Linked DNA regions of Mus musculus: region 1 is reported to be linked to region 2. Evidence: microRNA targets listed by miRTarBase, many of them from high-throughput screens and not tested one by one. Region 2 holds a microRNA gene; the other region holds the end of a gene's coding sequence.
What was found. Region 2 holds the annotated microRNA mmu-miR-3970 (GAGGUUGUAGUUUGUGCUUU, at 2,185-2,204, opposite strand). A microRNA usually pairs through its seed, bases 2 to 8, with sites in the 3' UTR of a target mRNA and lowers its output. Matches are read on the target gene's strand: a 7mer-m8 pairs with bases 2 to 8, a 7mer-A1 pairs with bases 2 to 7 and ends in A, and an 8mer does both.

Region 1 (7,894 bases), not on the chromosome of region 2:
TTTTGTTTTGTAGCCTCAGAACATAACAGTATAATGGTTAAATTCATACAAACATCAAATGTTTTAAGGCCTATTAAGGATTAAAATTTTGTAAGAGAAAAAATAAGTAGTTGATGGAATGCAAGGGAGGGAAGAGCTGGGGTTATACAGGAGCACGTGAGAACGTAAGATCACTTGCCCTTACACTCACTGCAAGGGTCTGTTCTTTCCCCTTCTCTCTTGCTCCTTTTTGGAGTTGATCGTGATGCTTGGGACTAAACTTGGGCCATTCCCAATGCCACTCAAGTTCTCTGTCCCTGGCCTGTGTTCCTGAGCCCCTAGTATGAGTCAACAAGCTGGGCTCTGAGGGGCATGACTGCAGTCTCTGCTTGCACAGAAGCAAGATAAAGCTAAATTAACCACTCCCAACTAAATGTTAGAAAATAAAGTAGAAAAGTGTAACAGCTTTGTACCATGTGCATAGTCTGTGCTTTAACCTTGTTGTTGAGAAGTAGTTTTTCATCGTTAAAAATGCATGCTGCAGGGATGAATAGCTCTAGTGTCTACTTAGCATACACAGGGGCTGGCCACACCCCCAGCACCATGTTTAAAGGGTGTGGTGGCCCATGACTGTAATCCCAGCACTCAGGTGGGGATAGCAGGATCAGCTTCATATGCTGTCTTCCCTCTCATGACCCTGTGTCGTTCATTGCATATATAGCTGGTCTTTGTCTGTGAGCAGGCCTCACCTACCAGAGGCTCTTTCTGATCTCTGGTCATTTGTGAGTTAAGTCACTGGGGACAAGTTTCAGGGCTCAGGAGGTTTTCCTCCTGTAAACTAAGGCATCACCAGTTGTATACTTCAAGAATCACTAGAGCACTACAAATTCCATTTTCTGATTCAAGGAATTGTTTTATGACCGGGGTTACAAAAGAACAGTCTATTCTGAGAATTAATTCACCTAATGCTTTGATCTTTATCATTATCTTAAAGTAGAATAAAATACAATAAGAATGAATATTCCAGGTAGTTTTAAAATGGATTTTCTTAAAAAGTTAAGTCAGACAGTCCTTAATAAACATGAAATTACATTATTCTTATTGTGTGTCTGTTTTCACCATAGGATATATGATTGGATGCCTGAACAGCCAAATATATTCCAAGTGGAGCAGTTGGAGCGCCTGAAGCAAGAATTGCCAGAGCTTAAGAACTGTTTGTGTCCCACTGTTAGCCACTTCATCCCTTCTTCTTTCTGTGTGGAGCCTGATATCCACGTGGATGCCAACGGCATTGATAGTGTGGAGAACGCTTAGTTCACAGTGCACAGAGGACATTTAGGGGCACACCGCTGCCCTCATGTTTAGTTTTCACCATCGAGCACTGCTGTTGCCTCTTAGGTTTTTCAGTCCAATGAAGCAATAATGAAGTATTTTACTATTTCATTACAGGTCCCGCAAGAATATCAAGTATGCTATTTGTCACTTGTCCAGGTATAATTACCAATCAGTCTCTGTACAATAAGAAAATATACTGTTAAACATTTCAGTGAGATATCTAAGCCTATAATGGTGAATCTTCATTAAAAGTTGGAAATTAACGATATAAATATCTCATACTTAAAGTTCAGGCTTTTCATTTGATTAAGTCTTAAATCTTCAGTGCTTGAGAAAAATGATTGCATAATTATACCTGACCATGGAAAAACTAAGTACCTCAATGCATGCATTTGCACTGGTGGCTCCAGCTGCACAGGTCTGTGTCATCCATGTACATAGGTATCTTTACATGGTTGATAGGAACACGCACCATTTTCCTTTAGTATAAACCTCAGATTGCTGCCATTTCTCACCTGACCCAAGCCAGCCTGCAGATGAACCTCAAAACTTGTCTCATAAACCATTCAAAGATATTAAAGTTCCAGAATGCTGCAGGGTAACTTAATGTATAAAGTATTTGTAAGAAGTATATATTGCATATATAGTAGTGTAGATCAGAAGGTATCAATTTGACTCAATGCATGCTTTAGGTTTTAAGCATGAGATTGTACATGTTTACTGTTAAGTCCTTGCATCTGGTGCTAGGTGAGGGAGATGTTAAGGACATAAAATATTTTGTCGCCTAAAAAACAAAGTCTGTTTTAGACACTTTGAGTATGCTTATTTAGTGTCTCACTACCTAGTAAACATAAGTGTCTCACTACCTAGTAAACATAATTGCTGTGTGTTGCATAGTAGTTAAATTCCCATGCAGAAAAATAAATGTCCTGAATTCTCAAATTGGTATTCTTTATTGTTTAATATATATCATGTATGTAATTTATTTAGGAATGTAGATCTTACTGTATATAAATGCATGCTTTTAGGATTATACTAAGATTTCTTTAGAAGCAGATTGTACTGATAAAACTGTAACTTCAGAATGAATGTTAAATAAAATGACAGATTTATTTTTTTCCTCATCTTAAAATGAAATTTCAAGAAGGTATTTTGTAGAATGGTTTTATAATGGTATTCTGTCTTACAAATAGAAATTTTATTCTGCTTGTATGGGCCGACTCACCACACTTTCTCAGTGCTCCTGCTGAGGCAGTTTGTGCATGTATTGACAGAAGTTAAAAACATAAGACTTGAGATGACAAGTTGTACTTTTTTTTTTCTTTCAATTTTTGACACAACCTGTGTAGCCTTGGCTGTCCTGGAACTCACTGTGTAAGCCAGCTGGCTTTGAACTCTCAGATACATCTGCCTCTGCCTCCTAAGTGGTATTAAAGTCATGCGCCACCACCTTTGGCTTCCTGATTTGTTCTTAACAGTGCAACAATGGGGGTTTGGGTCAGTTCTTCACTGTGGGGAGATGGGGTCAGAAACCCTATGGTATTGTATTTGTAACATGATGTTTAGTGGAGCATAGTTTAGAAAATGGTCTTCTACAAGGGTATTTCTATATACTTTCCCATGTTGAATGAATCTTTAACATTTCCACATAATCAGGTACCTTCAGAAAATGTAATTGACTTTCTTCATAGACCTGTGTACCGTGTGGTGTGCTCCCTTTGCCTCTCTAGTTTTGTTCTGTGGCCATTCCCATGTATTTTCCCTCCTAGCTCCATTATTGTGTGTAGGACAGAAGAAAAGCACAAGGGTGCATCTTACAGAGGACTTGGTAGGGACTGGGCCCAAGCAGTTTAGTTTGCTGAGAAGAGCTAGGCTAGTGTACCATAGAGCCTGACCACTGTCTTCTCCATTACTAGTTGATTAGACTATGTGAGCTAACCTAGTGCCTCCATGTCACTAGCTGTCACCTTTCCTCTACTCAGCCATGCTGTGACTAGCTCTGCACCACTCCATCTGTGCCTATATGTCCTTTGCTTGGAACCTTCCCCATCAACTGGCCCACACTCTTGCTGCCTCATCTAACTATCCAGTGCCAACACTTTTGAATATTTTACTACTCCTTATTGCATTTACCAGTGATCTTACAGAGCCTTGGGACATTCCAGAGACACAGTTGGCATTCATCTTACCAACTTTACTTTTATTTCCACAGTAAATGAAATGTATTTATTTATTATGAAAGCACATTTTGAAGTGGCTTACATTATGACCACTGGGATAGCTTATTGATGTCAGTTATTACATGCAGATGTTTAATGTTAAATTATTTTACACTTTCTGGAAAGTTCTATGATTCTCTGGCATTTGCTCCCTATACTAGCTCTGCTCAGTATGGAGGCAAGGCATACAGCTCCCTCATGGAGGTGGTGGTAAGGATTGGTCTGACCTCTTGTCTGTGAACACAGAGCTCATTGGACTTGTGTGTGGTGCAGGGCAACTTGCCAGTCATGCACGATGACAGATCATTTCCCTTGTGCCTTTTTCTCTGTAGCTGTCACTGCATGTGTCATCTACAGTGTAATGGGTTTGGTTACATTAGCTTGATGAAAGAGCACTTAAAAGTTCATTCCTACATCTTAACAGCTACTCTGAAGATTTTTTTCATAAACGATTTTTGTGAATTTTATATTATGTACCCCAATCCCACTTATCCCCCTGACCTTATCTGCCCTCCGCCCTTGCAACACCCCCAAAAGAAAATAAGTCTCTCGGAAGCTGCAGTAGTATGTCACTTAGTATATCCTTTTGTCCATCTTTATTTGCAAATGCTCACAGCAGTAAATCATTGATCTGGTTCGAGGCCTCTGGCTTCTGCTACACTATCAATACTGGATCCTCACCTGCACTCCTCAGCTATCCTGTGTCATGAAGGTCCTGCAACTTTAGATCTACAGAACCAGCCCCTTTATGTGCTCTAGCTGTTCATAGATGGAATAGATGTTGGGATGGCCAGCTCAAAGCCCTGGATCTGGGCTTGGATGGTAGCTGAGTTGCTCAGCCCGCCAGCTCCTGCACCCCACACCACCAGGGCAAGCTCTCCAGCACTGACTGCCCCAGCTAGCTCATCCAGTGCTGCGGCTGGCAAGGGGCCAGTGCCAGCTCTTACTTCTCATGCCTTCGGGGCTGGCTCTACTGTGCTGCCTAAGGGAAGTGCTGGGCCCACTTCCATATGCTGCAGCGGCTGAGGCATGGAGCCAGTTCTGTGTAGCCCCTAGACATTAACAGGCTCCCAGGTGTCAAAAGAGTCCAAATCTAACACGTGGGGGGTGGGGGGTAGGGGAGGAAGGAGGGTCTTATTGAGCCTCAGGGATTTTCTAAGTGACTGGTCATAACTAAAGTGGGTTTTTCCTTCTAGCGTCACAACTGTCCTGTATATTTTATTAGCTACTGCAGTCCCCGGCAGCCTGGAGTTTTGTTCTGATTCTCAGGGGAGAGGTTACTTTGATGCTCACTGACATCACAACAGGTGGCTGCCGAGAACCAGACCTCAATAAGAGGTATCGAATCTATTTGATGAGCATTTGAAGGTTTAGAAAGTAGTCGTTGTTTTTCTTCACCTTAATTTTAATGGGATGGAGGAATGAATGATGTTCATTTGTGTTGTGACACTGACTACAGTTGAATGTATGCAGCCTACACACTACCGCCACACCCTTGACCTGTAAGCCTCATTCAGACCTGTCATCCACAGCTGAAACTGACTAAGGGTTTTCAAAAAAGGATATATTACAGGGCCAGGTTTAACCCCAGCACTTGGGGAGGATAACTCACCCCGACACTGCAGTTCTCCAGCCTACGGCTTCTGGGAGTCCTACTCTGGTTACCACTGTTCAAGGGTTCACTTCTTTATTTGGTTGGTTGGTTGGTTTTTGTTTTTGAGGCATGGTTTTGTGTATCCTTGGTTGTCCTGGAACTCCTTTTGTAGACCAGGCTGGCCTCAAACTCAGAAATCCACCTGTCTGTCTCCTGAGTGCTGGGAGCCACCACCTCGCCACTACCACACTGGGGGTTTGTTTTGTTTTAGCTTACAAAGTAAGCCTTTTCAGACAGCCTTAGTTTCACGCATACATCCCTCTACTTTTCTCCCCACCTCCCTGACCCAACCCTCCCCTGCCTAGATCTGGTAAAGGCTCTTGACACACGAGTTCAGGACATGCTGAAATCAGTGAGGAATGCACATCTGCACTGCATTAGGGGTAATCTGTTCAACATTGTCTTCCACTTTTCTTATTGATGTTCACTACATGCAGGTCGATATGTTTATTATAGTTACCCTTATATAAAATATATTTTTATAAAATATTAACCATGTTTTCCTTCTCAAATTTTCCAGTAGTCTCACTCATATACACCTGACTTTATTTTACTTTTCAATTTTTAGACTCAAACTTTGTTTTAAAATAGATTGTAACTTCCATTTGCCTACAAATCCTCTCAAATCATTTTTTGTCTTTAATTCATTTTGAGACAAGAGTTTTTCTTTTTGGTTCAGGGCAGCCTAAAACTCACTAAGTAGCCCAGAATGGCCTCCAAAATCAAATATTTTTTTTTTGCCTCAGTCCGCTGAGCACTTATCATTTCCAGCTTGTCCTGTCTCAACCTATTTGGTTTTAAGGTACTTTTCAAGGTGTGTGTGTGTGTGTCTGTCTGTCTGTGTGTTGGAATTCCATGAGCGTATTTTTCTCATTTCTTCTTCCTTCCAATGTCTAGTGGTCTTGATTTCATCCCTTGGGAGCTCCAGACCTCAGTGTGAAGCCAAGCCCATGATTTATCCCTGCTGGGGGGTGGGGAGGGCGCGGGGGGGGGCAGAGCAAAAACTGTGACTTCTGCTGCAGAGGTCTCTGTTTCTGTGGGTCCCGATATATACCTTTGGGTTGCAGTGTTTGCTGTTGGGGAACTCCCAAGATTCAACTGGATGCAGTCTTTGGGCTCTAAGGCAAAGTTGTCCTTCTCTCCCTATGCCCGCTCTAAGGCAGAGAAGGGCTTGGAAGCAAAGCCTGGCCAGGCAGGCTCTTGGATCACCTCATCTTACTCAGAGCGACAGAGCTTGGACAAGTGTGCAGGGTTCCATTCCAAGACGCCTCTCAGGTCTGACTCTCAAGCCTTCTGACCTGTTTCTTTGGCCATTCCTTTCACTCTATGAGATTTCTCGCTTTCTTCTAACTCACTAACTCCTTCCAGTATCAGGCTAACCTGTTCGGAGGCCTTTAAACATCTGTGAATGAGAAATGAAACCCTGTAAAATGTTGGAACATAATTTGGTGTAACTTTTCATTTTAACGGCTTGTGTTTTATTTTCATGGTAAGATAATTTATATACTTAGTATTGATAAACATATATTTTAAATTGTTTTAGGTTGATTTGTTTTATGAATGTTTGGCCTGCCTGTATGTATGTGTAACAAGCACATGCCTAGTGTTTGCAGAGGTTAGAAGGTCCCATTGGATCTCCTGGAACTGAACTTGGGTGAGAAAGCCTTGGAGAGCAAGCCAGTAAGCAGCACTCCTCTGTGGCTTCTGCTTCAGTTCCTGCCTCCAGGTTCCTGCCTGGGCTTCAGTTACGTGAAAGTAGCTCCATTTTATACTAGATACCATCGCGGTACCCCAGCCATTTGTCTCTGACTCTAGTCCCTGGAAGATAAGTTCCCAGTAACCTGAATTCAGCGATCCCCCACCCAAAAATGTACAGCTGTCACTATCTACTTGTTATGATATGACTAATTGGTTTTTTTCAGTTTTGCTTAAGAAGATACCCAAAGACTGTTTTCCGTTGCCTTACTTAACTTGGCATAAAAGAACAGTTTTTTTTCTTGCTTGCATAGATCTTGAAGGTCGTCCTGTGGTTTTCCCCTTTAAAAGTCTTTTCCCAAATCCCTCCTTCGCTGTAATCTCAAATTTAGCTCAGAGGTTGCTTGTCCTGCTAGGGGATAACCAATAAATCTTCTAACTGGATTGAGTTTATGGTCTTTTCTCAGGGATCCCAAATTTCACACTGCTTCCCTCAATGGACTTTGACCCAGGAGACTCAAGCCAAATAGACTCTTTCCTTCCCAAGTTGCTATTGGCTGTGATGTTTTATCTCAGCAATGGAAAGCACCCCAAGACAGTCCCTTTTTTCTCTCTGTGACACTTAGACTTTGGGCTAGGACTTCCTGAATAGGGCCCTGATCATGCAGAGATGACGAATGGGCCTCAGGAGACTCACAAGCTTCTGTACAGGAAAGTTGAGTGAAAAGCAGCCTTCAGGATGGGAGAACAATCTCTTCCATGGAGACATCTGACTTTGGGTTACCATTGAGAATATACAAGAACTCAAAAACTAAACATCAAGAAAAAAATGGTCTAATTAAAAATGTACTATGGAATTGAGCAAAGCATTCTCAAAGAAGAAAGACAAATGGCTAAGAAATATTTCTGAAGCTGTTTAGTCTCTTTAGCAGCATAAGTCAGGGTTCTCTTAGAGGAATAAAATTAATGGGATGAGAGAGAGAGAGAGGGAGAGAGAAAGAGAGGGAGAGAG
Region 2 (7,894 bases):
TACAGAGACAACTTGCAGAAGAAACCATAAGAAACAGCTTCTTAAAACAGAATTTTAGCGGAATATTGCAAGATGTTGAACTTAGACAGGAAAAGGCCATGAGAGTAGCAGTGTTCCAACAACTGCACAAACTTTTCCAGAGTTAAGCGTGCACTTGAGGAACAGTCAGTAATTCTGTTTCACAGAAAAGTAGGATGTTGCTAGAGTATGGGACAAGATCACAGGAACTATTCTGTCCCTGTCCCTGGAGAGGGCTACTGCTATGCCCTCTGACCTACTGCCACAGTCAGAAGACTACAACAGAGGCTCCATTTCAGTTCTCCAGTTCCTTACTCCACCCTTCCCTTGCTGTCATCTGTGGCTGGACTTCTTTGTATCATGATAGTCTAATGCTTATTCTCTCTCTTTTCTTCCTCCCTCCTCCCTCCCTGCTTCCACCCTCCATTTCTTTTCCCCTCCCTTCCCCATTTTTAGTCCCTTACTTGGTGTAAGTCACAGAGATCTATTTATAACTGACCCCCTCCTTTCTGGCTCTAAGAGACCTTAGATTCTCATCCATTGCAAAGGTGAGTTAAGGATTGCAAAACTCCAGGACAATTATGGTTCTAGGAAGCAAACTTAGAATTCAAACACACCCTACATAAAAGCTAGTCCTTTTCGAGCCTGTCTAACTGCTGGTGGTTTTTGAGTTCTAGCTTTTCCCCAATGGTGACAAATTGTCATCGAATTCTTTCTTCCTTGATGTCAGCTAGAGTAGTCATGGTTAGCATTTGTACTCTGATCTTAGACATTCCTCATGGACTGTTCCCATCTGATGCTCACATCAGTCCTGATATCCAGAAGGAAATACTGTCTCTGCTTTAAATGAGGATGTTCTGGTTTCTGATGCAAACTGTGCCTCTAGTGACATAACTACTAAACAGTGAAACAGAAACTGGTACACTTCACTTTAGACTCAGAGCCCGTGTTATATCCCCTCATGGGTGAGCTGGAAGTGGACCAGAAACATAAATGGACAGCCTTAAGCTATAAAATTTCTAACTGAAAACATAGGAGAAGATTAGTATGACCTTGGGTTTCATGAGCATTTTTAGATAGAATAGAAAGAGCACAAATTATTTAAAAAGGAAATGATAAATTGTATCTACTGAATATTAAAACCAATATATTTGAAAGGTACCATAAGGAGAATAAAAAGGCAACTGCAAAATAAAAGAAAGTGTTAGAAAAGCACATATCTGATAAATGTTTACTATCCCAAGTGTATAGTGAATTCACACAAATCAATAATTTAAAATAATACAAATGGTTCAATTGTTTTAAAGTGGGCAAAAGATTTGAAGAACATGACACTAAAGATACTTGCATTTAATCATGGGAGATTTACACAAGAACTATATTGTTGAAAGAAGGGAACAATGACCTAAGTGAACCAAGAGGTGCTATGAATTGAAAGATGATACGTGTAAGAGGTGGTATGACCCAAAAAGATGCTCAAACCCACTGCTATCCAGATCCAGATCCTAGTTGCCAGTGCAGAAATGAAAAACCCAATTCAAGAGGCTAGAGGGATGGTTCAGAGGTGAAGAGTGAGTGGTGATTTTATAGAGGATCCCAGTCTGGTAGCTCATAACCACCTGTAATTCCAACTTTAGGGGATCCAATGCCTCGGGACTCCACCAGCATTATGTATGTGTGCATACCCAGAGTCTCTTTCTCTCTCTCTCTCTCTCTCTCTCTCTCTCTCTCTCTCTCTCTCACACACACACACACACACACACACACACACACATCTAAAAATAAAATAAATACTATATTTACAAAACTGATTCAAGATTTTTTTTCTTAGAAAATTTCAAGTGTTCCCTAGATAACCCAAAATAATCTATTAAAAGAAGAGCTGAATTGGAAGAGTCACAGTTTAGTTTCAAAACTACTACAAAACTGTAGCTACCCATTCAAAGCAGGACTGGCATGAGAGTAGATGTGATTGACACATCATAAGTGAGAGTCCTGAAGCAAACCCACAGATGATCAGCTGATTTCTGACAATGTTCCAGTGTCTATTAAGTGGAGAAAAATGTAGTCTTACCAGCATGGGCACTGAAACAACTGCACCTCCATAAACAAAAGGGTGATGCTGGTTTCTGCTTCATACTGAGTATTGAAATCTCTACAAGATAGAAAGCACAAACTACAACCTCAAATTCCTAGAAAATTGCACAGGGGTAAGTTCTCATGACCTTATATTTGACAGTTGTTTTTAGATATCACTTATTCTCTCTCTCTCTCTCTCTCTCTCTCTCTCTCTCTCTCTCTCTCTCTCTCTAAAAGAAAAATATAATTTTAACTATTTCAGAAATCAAATGTTCATTTATTTTAGAATTATCAAAAGAGTACAAAGGGGCCTGAGAGATAGCTCAGCAAATAACAACACTGGCTGGCCAGAGCACTGACTGATCTTTTAATTCCAAGTTTAATTCCATTCACCTACATGGCGATTCGTCATTATGTACAACTCCAGTCCTGACGCTCTGCTGGCCTCTACATGTGCGAGGCATGCACTCGGTGCACAGGTGTGCATGCAGGCAAATCACACACAATATCAAATAAGATAATAATAATTTATAAAAGAAAATAAAAAGATAAAATGAGAGAAAAGATTGATGGGTCACGTTTCTAATAAGAATCTGCATGGAGAATATATAAAGAATTCACTCCTACAACTCAAAAGGAATAGGAAAGCTCAATTAAAATGAACAAAGGGCTTGAATCAATACAATGCCCAAGAAATACAGATGAATACATGAAAATGTACTCAACATCATTATCCATTAGGGAAGTGCATAGCAAGACCACACAGTGTGATAAACAGTGAACTTACAACCACTAGAGCTATAAATTCATTAGCATACATTAAGTTTATAAAACCATTATTCTCAATGTCTTTTGTTGAAGATAGCTATAACTTTTTAATATAAATCAAGGAGTCTTTGTGAGGATATGGAGAAGTGAAGTGTTTGTGCTTTTCTGTAAGGAATATGCAATGAGTCCACTTCCTAAGAAAACAACTGGGTGGTAAATTATGATCCTGTCATTCTCAAAAGAGTCAACTGAATATCTTCAGATAATTTGGACAACAATATTCAAAATAGCCAAATTTATAAACAGCCCAAAGTTCATCAGCTGATGGAATGTGGCATATCCATACACTGGAATATAGTTCAAACATAAAAATTGGTCAACTACTGATAAATGCTAGATCGTGGAAAAGCCTTGAAAGGATCATGCTAAATGGAAGAAGCCAATCACAAAGGTTATATATCAAATGATTCTATTTATGTGGCATCTCTACTATGGGCAGATCTACTGGGAACATCATCCATTTCAGGGTAGGTCTCATGTTCAAGAATAGCTGACCAACATACAATGGACCCCACACATTTTTGTCTGATTTTACTTGGTTACAGTTTGGTGGGGGTTTTTTTGTTTTGTTTGTTTATGTGGGTGTTGTTTTATTGTTTTTTCTTGGTTTGGAGGGTTTTGTTGTTGTATTAGTTTTGTTTGTCTCTGTTTTTTGTTTCTTTCTTGAGAAAGAACTTAAAGTTGGGTGGATATAGAGGGGAGAGGACCTGAAAGGACTTGGCAGGGAGAATATAATCAAAATATATTTGAATTTAAAACTGTTTTAAACAATAAAAATATAATTTTAAAATATTAATAAAATGCTACAAAAATAAAGTAGATTGGTGTTTTCCAATGGGTGTACCTAGTAGTAAGTTTTATGTTGTTTACCACATACAAGGAAAAGTAAATAGAAAGTAAGCGCATGTGCAATTCACACATGCACATACACACATGTACACAATACTGAACATCATTGACTATTAGGAGCATAAAGTTTAAAACCGTAATTAAGAGACTATTACTCACCTAAAAAATGCCTCATAAAAAAAATCTGAAGCTGGCAAGTTCTGAAACAGATGTGAAGGGACTCTAGTTCTGACATGCCAGTATTGTAAAGGCAAGGTGTCACACCTTTCCTTAGAAACAAGTTGCACCCTCATCATCTTGGGCACGATCTCGGTGGAGGGTCCTAAGCTCCCCAGAGGACTCTCCACGTTGCAGGCACCCTAGCACACCCGGGATCTTGAGATCACTGGTGAGTGGAAGGCAACATCAGTTCCAAAAATCCCAGAGGGTCTTGTGATAGCAGCAACAAGGTCAAAAGACAAAGGCAGGCCCTAACACACCCAGAATCTTGGGATCACTAAGACCGGTCTATGGAAGAGAGCATGTGGGTGGCAGAAGCAACAGAGTTCCTTGGACAGGGTCCCTTCAGGCATTCATCCTCAGCCAGGAGACAGAGCTGAGACCCAGACCTGCCAGAGGAGAGTCAGAATCCAGGGAGGGTTCAGACTCCAGAACTCAGGAGGTGGATCTGAGCTGCATACTTCTGTGCACCTTCCCTGCAAGAGGAGAGCTTGTCTGCAGAGAGTGCTCTGACCACTGGGACTCAGGAGAGAGTTGATCTCCCAGGAGTGCTGTCAAGAGCTAAAAAAATCACAGGAGGAACAAGCTCCTGCCAGAGACAGCTAGAACATCTAACACCAGAGATTACCAGATAGCAAAAGGCAAATGAAAGAATCTTACTAACAGAAACCAAGACCACTGGGCATCTTCAAAACCCAGTATGCCCACCACAGTGAGTCTCAGATACCCCAACATACCCGAAAAGCAAGATGCGGATTTAAAATCATATCTCATGATACTGGTAGAGGATTTTAAGAAGGGCATTAATAACTCAAAGAAATACAGGAAAACACTGCTAAACAGGTAGGAGACCTTAAAGAGGAAACACAAAAATCCCTTTACAGCAAAACACAACCAAACAGGTGATGGAATTGAACAAAAGCATCCAAGATCTAAAAATAGAAGTAGAAACAATGAAGAAAACCCAAAGGGAGACAACTCTGGAGATGGAAACCCTAGGAAAGAAATCAGGAACCATAGATGTGAGCATCAGTCACAGAATACAAGAGATAGAAGAAAGAATCTCAGGTGCAGAAGATTCCATGGAAAGTATGGACACAACAATCAAAGAAAATGCAAAATGCAAAAAGATCCTAACTCAAAACATCCAGGAAATCCAGGACACAATGAGAAGACCAAACCTAAGAATAATAGGTATAGGTGAGAATAAAGATTTTTAACTTAAAGGGCCAGTAAATATCTTCAACAAAATTATAGAAGAAAACTTCCCTAACCTAAAGAGAGAGATGCCCATGAACATCCAAGAAGCCTACAGAACTCCAAATGACAGGACCAGAAAAGAAATTGCTCCCAACACATAATAATCAGAACAACAAATGCACTACATAAGGACAGAATATTAAAAGCAGTAAGGGGAAAGAGGTCAAGTAACATATAAGGCAAACCTATCAAAAGTATACCAGACTTCTCACCAGAGACTATGAAAGCCACAAGATCCTGGACAGATGTTATACAGACCCTAAGAGAACACAAATGCCAGCCCAGGCTACTATACCCAGCAAAACTCTCAATTACCGTAGATGGAGAAACCAAAGAATTCCATGACAAAACCAAATTCACACAATACCTTTCCATGAATCCAGCCCTTCAAAGGATAATAAAGGGGAAACTCCAAAACAAAGAGGGAAATAACACCCTAGAAAAAGCAAGAAAATAATCAATCCTTCAACAAACCTAAAAGAAGACAGCTGCAAGAACATAATCGCAACTTTAACAACAAAAATAACAGGAAGTAACAATTACTTTTCCTTAATATCTCATAATATCAATGGACTCGATTGCTCAATAAAAAGACATAGATTAACAGACTGGCTACATAAACAGGACCAACATTTTGCTGCATACAGGAAACCCACCTCAGTGACAAAGACAGACACTACCTCAGAGTAAAAGGCTGGAAAACAATTTTCCAAGCAAACGGTCCAAAGAAACAAGGTGAAGTCGCCATTCTAATATTTAATAAAATCGACTTACAACCCAAAGTTATCAAAAAAGACAAGGAGGGGCACTTCATATTCATCAAAGGTAAAATCTTCCAAGATGAACTCTCAATTCTGAATATCTATGCTCCAAACGCAAGAGCATCCACATTCATTAAAGAAACTTTAGTAAAGCTCAAAGCACACATTGCACCTCACACAATAATAGTGGGAGACTTCAACAACCCACTCTCATAAATGGACAGATCCTGGAAACAGAAACTAAGCAGAGACACATTGAAACTTACAAAGGTTATGAAACAAATGGACTTAACAGATATCTACAGAACATTTTATCCTAAAACAAAAGGATATACCTTCTTCTCAGCACCTCATGGTACTTTCTCCAAAATTGACCATATAATTGGTCACAAAACAGGCCTCAACAGATACAAAAATATTGAAATTGTCCCATGAATCCTATCAGATCACCATGGACTAAGGCTGATCTTCAATAACAACATAAATAATAGAAAGCCAAAGTTGACATGGAAGTTGAATAACACTCTACTCAACGATAACTTGGTCAAGGTAGAAATAAAGAAAGAAATTAAAGACTTTTTAGAGTTTAATGAAAATGAAGACACAACATACCCAAACTTATGGGACACAGTGAAAGCAATCCTAAGAGGAAAACTCATAGCTCTGAGTGCCACCAAAAAGAAACTAGAAGAAGCACATACTAGCAGCTTGACAGCATACCTAAAAGCTCTAGAACAAAAGGAAGCAAATTCACCCAAGTAGCAGGAAATAGTCAATCTCAGGGCTGAAATCAACCAAGTAGAAACAAAAACAAACAAACAAACAAACTATACAAAGAATGAACCAAACCAGGAGCTGGGTGTTTGTTTGTTTGTTTTGAGAAAATCAACAAGATAGATAAACCCTTAGCCAAACTAACTAGAGGGCACAGGGACAGTATCCTAATTAACAAAATCAGAAATGAAAAGGGAGACATAACAACAGAACATGAGGAAATCCAAAACATCAGATCCTACTACAAAAGGCTATTTATACTCAACAAAACTGGAATACCTAGTTGAAATGGACAAATTTCTAGACAGATACCAGGTACCAAAATTAAATCAGAATCAGAGTAATGATCTAAGCAGTCCCATAACCCCTAAAGAAATAGAAGCAGTCATTAATAGTCTCCCAACCAAAACAAACAAACAAACAAACAAAAACAGACCAGATGGGTTTAGTGCAGAGTTCTATCAGACCTTCAAAGAAGACCTAATTCCACTTCTCCTCAAACTATTCCACAAAATAGAAACAGAAGGTACTCTACCCAATTCATTCTGTGAAACCACAATTACTCTATACCTAAACCACATAAAGACCCAACAAAGAAAGAGAACTTCAGACCAAGTTCCCTTATGAATGTCGATGCAAAAATACTCAATAAAATCCTCACAAACCGAATCCAAGAACACATCAAAACGATCATCCACCATGATCAAGTAGGTGTCATTCCAGGGATGCAGGGATGTTTTAATATATGGTAATCCATCAACGTAATCCACTATGTGAACAAACTCAAAGACAAAAACCACATGATCATCTTGTTAGATGATGAGAAAGAATTTAACAAAATCCAACACCCATTCATGATAAAAGTCTTGGAAAGATCAGGAATTCAAGGCCTATACCTAAACATAATAAAAGCAATATACAGCAAACCAGAACCCAACATCAAACTAAATGGAAAGAAGCTTGAAGCAATTGCACTAAAATCAGGGACTAGAAAAGGCTGCCCACTTTCTTCCTACCTATTCAGTATAGTACTCGGAGTCCTAGCCAGAGCAATTAGACAACAAAAGGAGACCAGGGGGATAAAAATTGGAAAGGAAGAAGTCAAA

Region 1: miRTarBase lists Gpcpd1 as a target of mmu-miR-3970. Seed matches in the 3' UTR shown: 7mer-m8 at 2,651-2,657.

Annotation. Positions count from the first base shown.
Region 1 is chr2:132,523,952-132,531,845 of GRCm38, reverse strand. Gpcpd1 (glycerophosphocholine phosphodiesterase 1) reads left to right here. Exons shown (of 20, transcript NM_028802.3): 20 at 1,104-2,764. The coding sequence ends at 1,293. 1700026D11Rik (RIKEN cDNA 1700026D11 gene) reads right to left here. Exons shown (of 4, transcript NR_028286.1): 4 at 7,789-7,894. Among named protein-coding and RNA genes, the nearest start is that of 1700026D11Rik, 37 kb to the right of the region's middle.
Region 2 is chr19:33,151,432-33,159,325 of GRCm38, reverse strand. It overlaps Mir3970 (microRNA 3970), which reads right to left and starts at 2,214; the gene lies at 2,125-2,214. It also overlaps the pseudogene Rnls.